Linked DNA regions of Rattus norvegicus. The protein of the gene in region 1 interacts with the protein of each later gene in a pairwise test. Links are inferred from orthologs where the notes say so. Each region holds a gene or a part of one and is shown on either strand. Other genes may lie near its edges.

Region 1 (4,728 bases):
TACTGACTTACCCTGAAATTGTCTGTGATTGATTATGGGACGTCACCTGAGTGACGGCCTTCATGAGCTAGTCTAGCTGGCAGCACAGAGCTGTGTCCCCAGCTGCTGCTGAGGACAGGAGAGCCACTTTCTTCCTCAGCAGATCCTTTGAACTGTTTGCCCTGGCTACTGGGGAGTGGAGAGACTGTGTTTACTGTTTTAAGCTTGGGGACTGATCAGCCTTTGGGAGTTAATCTGTCCCTTTTCTTCTGTTGTTTTTTTATTTTTCTCCCTGTTATAGAGAAGCCTCTTATAACTCCTCAGAGAAAGAAGAAGAATCTAAGTAAACAGCTCAGCCCTTGGCTTCATGTATCACTTGCATGCTGGCTCTGACTCCTCTCGGCTTTTCTAGAGGCTCAGAAGACATACTCTAAAACAGCTATCTGGTCCACGGGGATGTGGGAGGGAAAGGGTCACCTTTCCCTTAGGAATAGGTAACCCGCCTCATAAATATCCATAAAACTCATTAAGAAGCTACAAAAGAATCCCCTGCTGGAGCCACTCCCTCCAGCTCTGCAGGCCTGCTTGTTGTTTTCCCAAATGAACTTCTGCTTGGACTGTGTCTCTTGGAGAAGACAAGACCTAAGGCAGTGGTTCTCAGCCCTCTTAACACTGTGACCCTTTAATATAGTTCCTCGTGTTGGGGTGGCCCCCAACCATAAATTTATTTTTGTTACGACTTCATTACTGTAATTTTGCTATTGTTGTGAATCATAATGTAAATATCTGGTTTGGTTTTTTTTTTTTTCCCAGAGCTGAGGATCGAACCCAGGGCCTTGTGCTTGCTAGGCAAGCGCTCTACCACTGAGCTAAATCCCCAACCCCAATTATCTGTGTTTTGTGATGGTCTTAGGTGACTCCTGTGAAAGGATCATTTACCTCTGGATTAAGGGGCAACCTTCATGGCAACAGGAGAAAGTGTTCTCAGTGCCTGGTGTCTGTCCCTGTGCTATGTGACCTGATAGCCCTGCCATATCCCATAGTGCCCACAACCTAGGACTTCCCAGGGCAGAGGCCACCACAGTCTTCTCCTCTGGATCCCTCGGCAGCAGCTATATTCTTCTGTCATGGGGGTCAGAGGACACGGTCGGATACCTGCTAAACTGCGCCTTGCTGGGTGGCAGCTCCCTTCTGAAACTTCTCTTCTTCTCACTTCGAACCACGGTAAACCCGTCTTCAGAAATGGTCAGCCAGGGGTGGCAGGTGTCCTTGTTCAGTTGGAAGTAGCTTCCTGTGGAGGGAGGGAACATCAAGAAGCCCCGACCTGATATTGCAAGACTTTTCCAGCAGGACCTACGAGCATTACCCAAGCGCATGGCTTCTTCCGGATGGATGCACAGAACCCCCGCCCCTGGGGGAGTCATGATCAACCTGTGAATAGGGTGGCCACTCTCATGGGGCAGGGCTTGTACGATTAGTGCCATGCAATCTGTACATCTTCTCTCCCTTAGCCCTTATATCTAGACCTAGATAGGGGTGTTACTGTCCCCATTTTGTAGATGAGGAAACTGAGGCTCGGGTGGTTAAGAAACAGGCTGGTAGATCATAGGAGTCAGGCTGAACTACTCACCTCTCTGAGCCCAGACACCGGGTTTTTAATTCACAGGCTCTAAGTGTTTGGACCTGAGTAAGAATTTTTAACCATGCCAAGGAAAACCAAATTGAGGGACTCTGCTTTTTGTTAGTGGTTTTGTTTTTTCAGGATTTATTTATTATTTATATGAATACACTGTCGCTGTCTGCAGACACACCAGAAGAGGGCATCGGATCTCATTACAGATGGTTGTGAGCCACCATGTGGTTTGCTGGGATTTGAACTCAGGACCTCTGGAAGAACAGTCAGTGCTCTTAACTGCTGAGCCATCTCTCCAGCCCCCTTGTTAGTGGTTTCTAAACAGGGCCTCCTGGGGTTGGGGATTTAGCTCAGTGGTAGAGCGCTTGCCTAGCAAGCACAAGGCCCTGGGTTCGGTCCCCAGCTCCGGGGGGAAAAAAAAAAACAAAAAAAAACCAAAAAAAAAACAGGGCCTCCTGCTGTAGCACAGGCTCATCTGCAACCACTTTATCCTATAAACTGCCCTTGAACTTGTAGCAATTCTGCCTCAGCTTCTGAAAGAAAACCGAGCTGGCTATGTCTTTGGTCTCGGCTCTCAGTGTGGTTTGTTTGTTTTTTTAGAGCAAGCATCTGTAATTTCAAAACACTCAGCTTGTGTTCCCATCTCTGTGGCTGGAATAAGAATGTGTTACTCACAGGCCTCTCCTCCTGCCAATGGAAATGGGGACAGAGAGGCACAGTGTGTTTCAGGGGAAGAGTTCAGCCAAGGGAAATTCGTTCCCAGACACTGGCTAGGCTCTCTGCTTGTGCTGCTCACCTGGAGGCCACCCACTCAGTTGGCTTGAACTGAGCTTGGTTGACACTGAATGGACAAGCAGAAGTGTTCTGCTGGCCCAGAGCTGCAGCCTCCAAGATGACATCCTGTCCTCATATCTGTACAGGGGCACCATCCTCTGGGAGGCTTTTGAAGGCTGCAGTGAGGTTTGGGGTGCAGAGCTGTAGCATTGCAGGCTATGGGGAGGCTGAGGCGGGGGCATTGCAGTGGATGTTTCTAATGAGGTCTCTGCTCACTTAGGACTTGGACATGGGACCTGCCAGTTCTCCGACATGGTGGAAGCACATGGGAAGGGCTGTCAGCACCCAGGATGGTCAGACAGAGCGTGGAGGTGGGGCAGGGCTGAATGGTGGAGACTTAGTGGGCTTCTAACAGGGGAGGTGCTTATCCTGACAGCAGGGGAGGGAGGTGGCCTTGATCACCTGCAGCTCTCTTCCAAGGCAGGTATGCTGCCTCACACCTGTAATGCCCAGCACTGGAGAGGCTGAGGCAGGAGGATCACCTTGAGTTCCAGGTCAGCTTGATTACATACTGAGTTTGAGACCAGCCTGAGCCACAGAGCAAGACCCCATCTCAAAAAACCAAAACCAAACCAGCCATGAGTTAAGAAACATAGGCCACCCAGATCCACTGAGATAGTCAGGTACTTGAGGGTCACGGGGGGAAAGCCTTGAGTTCTAGCACTAGCTCAGGCCAACCCAAGTTCTATGGGGCTTTGATGACTCAGATGTCCTTTTGGTTTCTGATCTGTCCATAATGTGACAGTTACGTTTTCTCATGCATACTTAGTAGCACCGAATCTGTAACAAAGTGGCTAATTTTGAGTCCCAAGAGCACCGCTGGCTTACAGACCTGTGGTGTGTACTGTAGCAGGCTTGCTTCTGGCACTGGTGCCCCCCACATTCAGGGCTCGAACGTAGATCGTGTAGCTGTGTCTAGGCTGTAGCTGTATCAGGGATTCACAGGTTGGGATGCCTACAACAGATCTATGCACAGAGGCAGAGTGTTGTCAGCAGGAGCCCAGGCACCAGCCGCCCTTTTCACACCCATTGTCCTCTGACCCAGAGTAGAACAGCCAAGAGGCTCAGCTTCCTGGGCAGGCCTCCCACAGTTCACAGCTTGCTTGCCAGTCTGTGTCTGGCTGTCTCCCTTCCAAGCTCCCCAGCTGGGTTTCCCAAGTACCTAACACTGTGCTCAACATGTCCACTGGAGCATTTGGGGAGTATGCACCTGTCTCTGTCTCTGGCCATGTGAGAGCCATGACCTCTCTGAGGGCAGGACCAAGTACACAAGGACAGTCCTAACCATAGAAACCTTTCTGTGACGCGCTGTCTTTGAGCCCCCGGTAAACCTTCTTGTGGTGCTGGGGGTTAAGCTTCAGTGCTATAGCATTTTGCTGGCGCATAACTGGGGCCGCCTGCCTATCGCGGCTAAGGCTAAGGCCGCCCTTTTAACCACTAGCTACAGGCTAAAACCAAAAAAAAAAAAAAAGAAACCTTTCGGTATGAGCATCTATGAACAGACAACTTTGTTTAAAACAACTGCTGCAGAGAATAATCCAATTCATTTCAGTTGGACCGTATGGAAATTCTGTTCAGCTGAAATGGTCTTCAGGAAGGTGCCCATGTACAGCTATGAGAACAAGACGTCCTCTTGGACGCTGCAGCCCTAGGCCAGAGGGACACTTCTGCTTGTTCATTCAGGAGATTAACCAAGCTCCTCCCATCTCAAATGCTGTATACCCTGGGAAACTGGACATAACCCCTATTCCCAGAGAACCTGCAGTCAGAGAGGCATTGCTCCAGAAAGCCCATGTATTCATGAGAAGCCTGTGTGTGCTACAGTGTGGAAGGGTGGTGGCTTTCAAGCTGAGTTCTGAAGAGCTCTAAAGGTAACTGGGTCAAAGGGGGATAGAGTAAGTCTCCTGCACAGTAGACACATGTGCAAAGGCCCTGTGGCAAGAAGGAGAAAGTAGGAGCTGGAGAGGGAAGGGTTGTTGGTATGGGATGAGTGAGAGGAAAAGAGGCATATCCTGTGAAGAAGCTAGAGCCTTTTCTTCAGTGACTGGACATGCAATTCGGTTTGTTCTGCAAGAGTTAAGCATCACCTCAGGTCACCCAAGTTGCTGACCTGTCCTCTGAGGGCTCCAGCATTGTGGATTGGCCCAATTCCAGGTTACTATAGATAGTGAAGGAAACCTGGATTGCCATGCTGGTCCGAATCACTGGACCCCTCCCCTGACTTCTGACTAGCTTTGCTGTGGCTATAGGCACAGAGATCTCGGCAAGAACAGATACATAGG
Region 2 (5,059 bases), on another chromosome or scaffold:
TTGAGGAGATTTGAACCCTGGAGACCCTGAAAGGGCCAGTAGGCGCTTTGCCTGACTCCCAGGAAACCAGGCTGGTCACTGGCCCGCAGCCCTTCATAGATCTGTGACCATCTGTCACATAAGGGAAACACCCCAAGCTCCTTCACAGGTAGAGGACATGACCATAGGTCAAGTAGGCTCAAGACAGATCTCCATTATAATGAGATACCTAAAGGTCTGGAGACTTAGCCAATGAACTTTCCTTCCAGAAACTCTTCCCTGAAAAAGATATTTAATCCCAGGCCCACTCTGAGAAGTGGAGTACAATTTTTCTCATTCCCTATCCACCATCACAATAAATGCCTTGAAACCATGGACTACCTCTTCTTATGGGATCCACGGTGGCAAGCCATTGAGAATCCCTTCGCCTACAGAGCCAGTCACCTAATCTCCCATAGAAGACTTTCCTGCCCTCCCAGCTTCAGCCCTCTACCAAGCCCAAGCCTGATACCCAGGACAGCCAAAGACTTCCCAGCAGGACCAGTTGGAGCATCCCCCCTCCTTTTCCCCCTCTGCCCCTGGCTAGATCGGCCCCCACTCTGTTTCTGCAGCATCCCAGCGGTGCCTGGATGCCCAAGAGCCTAAGAACTGAAGGCTGCAGCGTCCTGTCCTCAGACGGTGCTTCCCTACCCTGGAGCAGTGTCCCGCAGCTTCCCACAGTCTAACACCCACCTGACGGGTCAAACTTCCCGAATCCTGCCTCCCAGAGCAGCCTGAGCCCTGTGACAGAGCAGAAGGACAGAAGTAGGCCCCCTACTCAATCCTACAGAGAATCATGGTGACTGAGGAGGTTCTGTTGGGCACAGAGCTCTGGGACCAGAAGGTTTTGGCTAAATGAGTGGTCTGTATGTCTCTAAGAGGGTCGAAGGGTCACAGGGATAAGAATACAGAAGAGAGACCGGGGCCTCTCATTCTTCACAGGTTCTGTTGGTAACCCAAAAGGTCCCAGGGTTCCTTCCTAAAGACTGAGTCTGGTTCTGGGTGTGCACAGACTGGTGGGAACAGTAGCTTCGATAGCAATCCCTGGTCTTTCCTGGGCAGTGAGGAGAGAGCCGGAGGAGAATGATACTCTTGCTACAGGGTGAAGTTTACACTGAGAACAGCTGCAGGAACCTGGTTACTGCACAAGATCCTTTCATCCCCCTCCCCTTTTTAGGAGGGTTTCACATATCCCCAGTTGGCCTCAAACTTGTTACATAGCCAAGGGTGACCTTGAACTCTTGATTGGCCTGCTTCCACCTCCCAAGGGCTAACACTATAGGCATAGCCACCATGTCCCATTTATGGGGTATCATCGATCCATCTCAGGGCTTTGTGCATGCTGGGTAAGTTCTTGACCAACTGGGCTGAATCCTTATGGTCTTCTTGTCACTTTCTGACTGCATTCCCTCTATCTTCAATGTTCTTATTGTGTTTCTGGTCTATCAGTTACAACACATGACACTGGGTCCACAAAGTGTTCAGGGATTAAAGCAAAAGAAACAATGTAACACATGATCTTAGCTTGTGTGGCCTCAAGCAAACAGCTCCTGCGCTCTCAGCCTCTGACCAGTGGAGATCATGGCCACCTCCCGTCCCCTCAGGTCATTAGAATGTGAGACCTTGTGGTGTGCACACTGTAGTTTGTAGACTACCTGGCTGAGTAGGCAGACTGTGAACCTCTTTCTTGTCCTGCATGTTTTGGAGTGAGCACGGGACTTGGTCTGACTCTCATGATTATCTTGAAGGCAACTCATTTTGTAGTTGAAGAAATCAGGGCTTATCAAGCTAAGGTACACGCCAAGTACTTAGCAAAGCCAGGATTGTTGGACTCCAAACCTAGTACTCTTTCTACCATAGAACTGTCTCCTAGGAATGGCATGTTTTTGACTCAACAGAACCAATTTACAGCCCTTTGCTCTCTCTCTCTCTGTATACTCAATAAACCCCTGTGAAGAGGAAGGCTGAGAACATGATGGCCAGAGAACCAGACAGTGAGAAACGCAAGCACTGCCCTGCTGCTTGAAGCAGCTTTTTCCTGTCAGGCCTGTGGCCAGGTTTCAACCCCCAGTTCCTCTAAACCTTTCTGGTTCAGCATCAGCAGGGGGGCTTTGAGAAGCACTGGCAAGAGAAGGAGAAACATTCAGAAAAATGACAAGCTGGCTGCCACATGTCCTGCTTGCTCTCTCCTCCCTGTGGGTGGTATGCATTTGTAGCTCAATGGCTGGCCAGTAACCTAAGAACGCATTTGGCAACAGCTCTAGGTCTCCCTGCAGACTCAGGTCAATCTTCTTCGTCTTGGAGCCACCTATCCATTTAGGCAAGAAGGCTCCAGACTACTTCAGGTCTTGGTCCCCTGGATCCGTTTCACCAGAGAAAAGAAAGGTTGGATTTGAAGGGTGAGGCCTATAGGGTCCATAGCAAGGCTGGGGATTGTGCCCTGCTGTTGAGCAGGAAGCAGCGTGAGTGGATGTCCCATACTGCTATCCTTGTGATCTGATGACAGCTGTTGCACCTGGCAGCTGGCTCAGGGAAAAATCACAGCAGGGGTTGCCAGACTTCACAGTGAGGAAGCCATCAGGACCCAAGCACCCAGAAACCCATGTGTGTGGGAGGACTGTTTCAAATTTAGAGCCCATCCCACTAATAGCAGCTTCCTAGTGACAGGCAATCCCCTGATCCCTGGATCCCTGATTTCTCTAGTCCCAGACTGGCCGTGTACCACGTGATGAAGCCAAGTCCATCGGCAAGGCGGGAATCACCCATAGCCTGCATTCTCAGTACAGGCTGAGTAATGAGCTATTCGTCTAGTTTCCGACTCAAAACTCTCAATAAACTGAGAAGGTGGGCAACCCCTTCTTAGGAACAGACCTCAGAGACGTCGTCTGATTTCTCCAGATCACATAGCCAGTGTGTGAGGTAGCCAGAATCCGAGCTGAGCTTTGGTACCCAAATCCAAGTTCTGTGCTTTTCTCATTGCATATAGAACCTGGACTATCTGCCGATTGTGTCTATCTGTCCTCTATTAAGTGAACCCTCCTTGCTGACCCTACATACCCCTACTGTGTGATGATGGATTTAAGAGAGGCTGTAGCAGATGTTAAATTCCTCTCAGTGTTTAGAAGTAAAAGGTCAACCAGACTGCCGGGTTGTAACTGAGAGCCTACTTAACCCTCTATCTCCCACCCCCACTTCACATCCCTGCCTCTTCTCACCTCAGTAAGGCAGGGTCCCAGTACCTACATTTTGAAGGGCTTAGTTGCTGGGACAGCTTGCTCCGATGCTCTTAGGTCATCTCCTTCCCACCACCTTCTCCTAGAACACACTCAGCCTAACAGATGTGAAGCAGAATAGATCAGAGTCTTACTTCTCTACAGGTCCGGGGCTGTGAGCTCCTTGGCAGTGTCTGGGCTGCGAGGTCCTCTGCAGGTTTCAGACTTAGGGAGTGCTAAGCCAGTCCCAGATGGCTGAGGCAGCCACCCCCAAAGGGCGGGCCTTAAACCCCCAAGATGGGAGGCAGTTTTGCATTCCCATTTATTCTGATAGCAATGAAAAAGAACTGTTGCTATAGAAACCGTTATTTTACTTGGTGAGTGGCCGTGTCCGAGACTCAGAACACCATGTCCAAGCCACCCTGATTGAGAGGCACCAATAAATACCCGTGTTGTCAGATTGATGAGGAATATGACTCACACCAAGCTTTGTTCTGAACAAGGCGGCTCCTGGCTTCTGAGGAGGAATTTCCCTTGTTTGTATGGGAGGGAATTCCAGCACTTCCCCAAAGGAGGGGAGGGGAACCACGCTTCCTGCTGCAGTGAGGGATTCTTTAGAACTTGGCTCTTGGATACTAGCAGGGAGAGAACTATACCCAGACAGTTCTTGGCAGCCCTGCAGGCTTAGGTGTAAGAAACATTGTGAAGTGAAGTGGTCATCTACAAATGTGTTGGGCACATGGACAGCCAGAGCATTTGGGAGGCAGAAGGAGGTAGATCTCTGTGTTCAAGGCCAGCATGGTCTACAGAGAGAGAGAGTTCCAGGATAGCCAGGACTACACAGAGAAACCCTATCTCAAACAAACAAACAAACAAACAAACAAACAAACTTCACACAATTAATTTCCACAGAAGAACCAGCAGGATGTAGTCCAGGAAAAGGGCAGCGGATAGATTTGTACCTAGCCCACTCTGATCCTAGTCCCTTCTGTACTTTGGCTTTCCTGTGTGTGTTGGCTGCGCGTGACCTCAATGAGATGGTGTTCATTAAAGCAGCCTTCAGAGAACTGTCATGTGCTAAAGGCAGAGCCCCAATGTGCATGCCTGTGCCTGGCCACAATGAGAGTGTGCGCAAAGAGAAGCTGTGGGCTTGGGCAGAACCCCAAAGCCAATCTAGGTGCTTGTAGATCAAAGGCCTTCTCTGCACCTCTGAACTAGCTACTGCTCGAGCCTTGGGCCATTCTGTCGTTTGGCATTATTCTCTGTCCCCCAACTGAGGAAACCAGCCTCTGCCAGTGAGACTAGGCCTGTACCCCAGTTTACTTTCTCATGGAACTTTGGTCGGTCAAGAGCGATGAGGTTCAGGTCACACACATCACAGGTAGGCAGACATATTCCACACGCAGTTTGAGTTCATTTTGGCCCTAGGATCTGTTCATGTAGTCAATATCTAATATGTATGTGTATATTTCCTGGCATGTTCTAAGTGGGCGTATGATGGGAAAGCAACAGAGAGAGACAGTACCCCTGTTCTCAGGGGATCCACATTCAGTGTGTGTGTGTGTGTGTGTGTGTGTGTGTGTGTGTGTGTGTGTGTGTGTGTGTGTGTGGTGTGCATGTGTGTGTAGTGTGTGTGTGTGACAGTAGATAAAAAGACATACAAGAAAATGTCAACCAGTGATGTATGACTGTAGAAAGGCTGAGTAAGGAAGGGCAGTGACTGGAAGCTTGGGAAAGGTGGGCGCAGACAAGGAGTCATTGCTTATGTGGGACAAATGTTTAGGGTGAGCACAGCTAGTGTCAAGGCTCTGGAGTGGGAATGAACTGGG

Evidence for each region. The genes of interacting proteins can lie anywhere in the genome.
Region 2: the proteins of Fsd2 (region 1) and Fam107a interact in binary tests that used the Homo sapiens proteins (3 or more experiments, as listed by UniProt). The two-hybrid records come from large-scale screens. The link is inferred for Rattus norvegicus from reciprocal best matches to the Homo sapiens genes FSD2 and FAM107A.

The regions. Positions count from the first base shown.
Region 1 is NC_086019.1:144,905,164-144,909,891, forward strand, and holds part of Fsd2 (fibronectin type III and SPRY domain-containing protein 2), read right to left. Parts: intron 3,896-4,728; exon of another isoform or gene 3,752-3,895; intron 3,413-3,751; coding exon 3,279-3,412; intron 1,271-3,278; coding exon 1,135-1,270; intron 1-1,134.
Region 2 is NC_086033.1:19,044,956-19,050,014, reverse strand, and holds the start of Fam107a (actin-associated protein FAM107A), read right to left. Parts: upstream 3,435-5,059; 5' UTR 3,386-3,434; exon of another isoform or gene 3,234-3,385; intron 1-3,233. UniProt on the Homo sapiens protein: Stress-inducible actin-binding protein that plays a role in synaptic and cognitive functions by modulating actin filamentous (F-actin) dynamics. Mediates polymerization of globular actin to F-actin. Also binds to, stabilizes and bundles F-actin.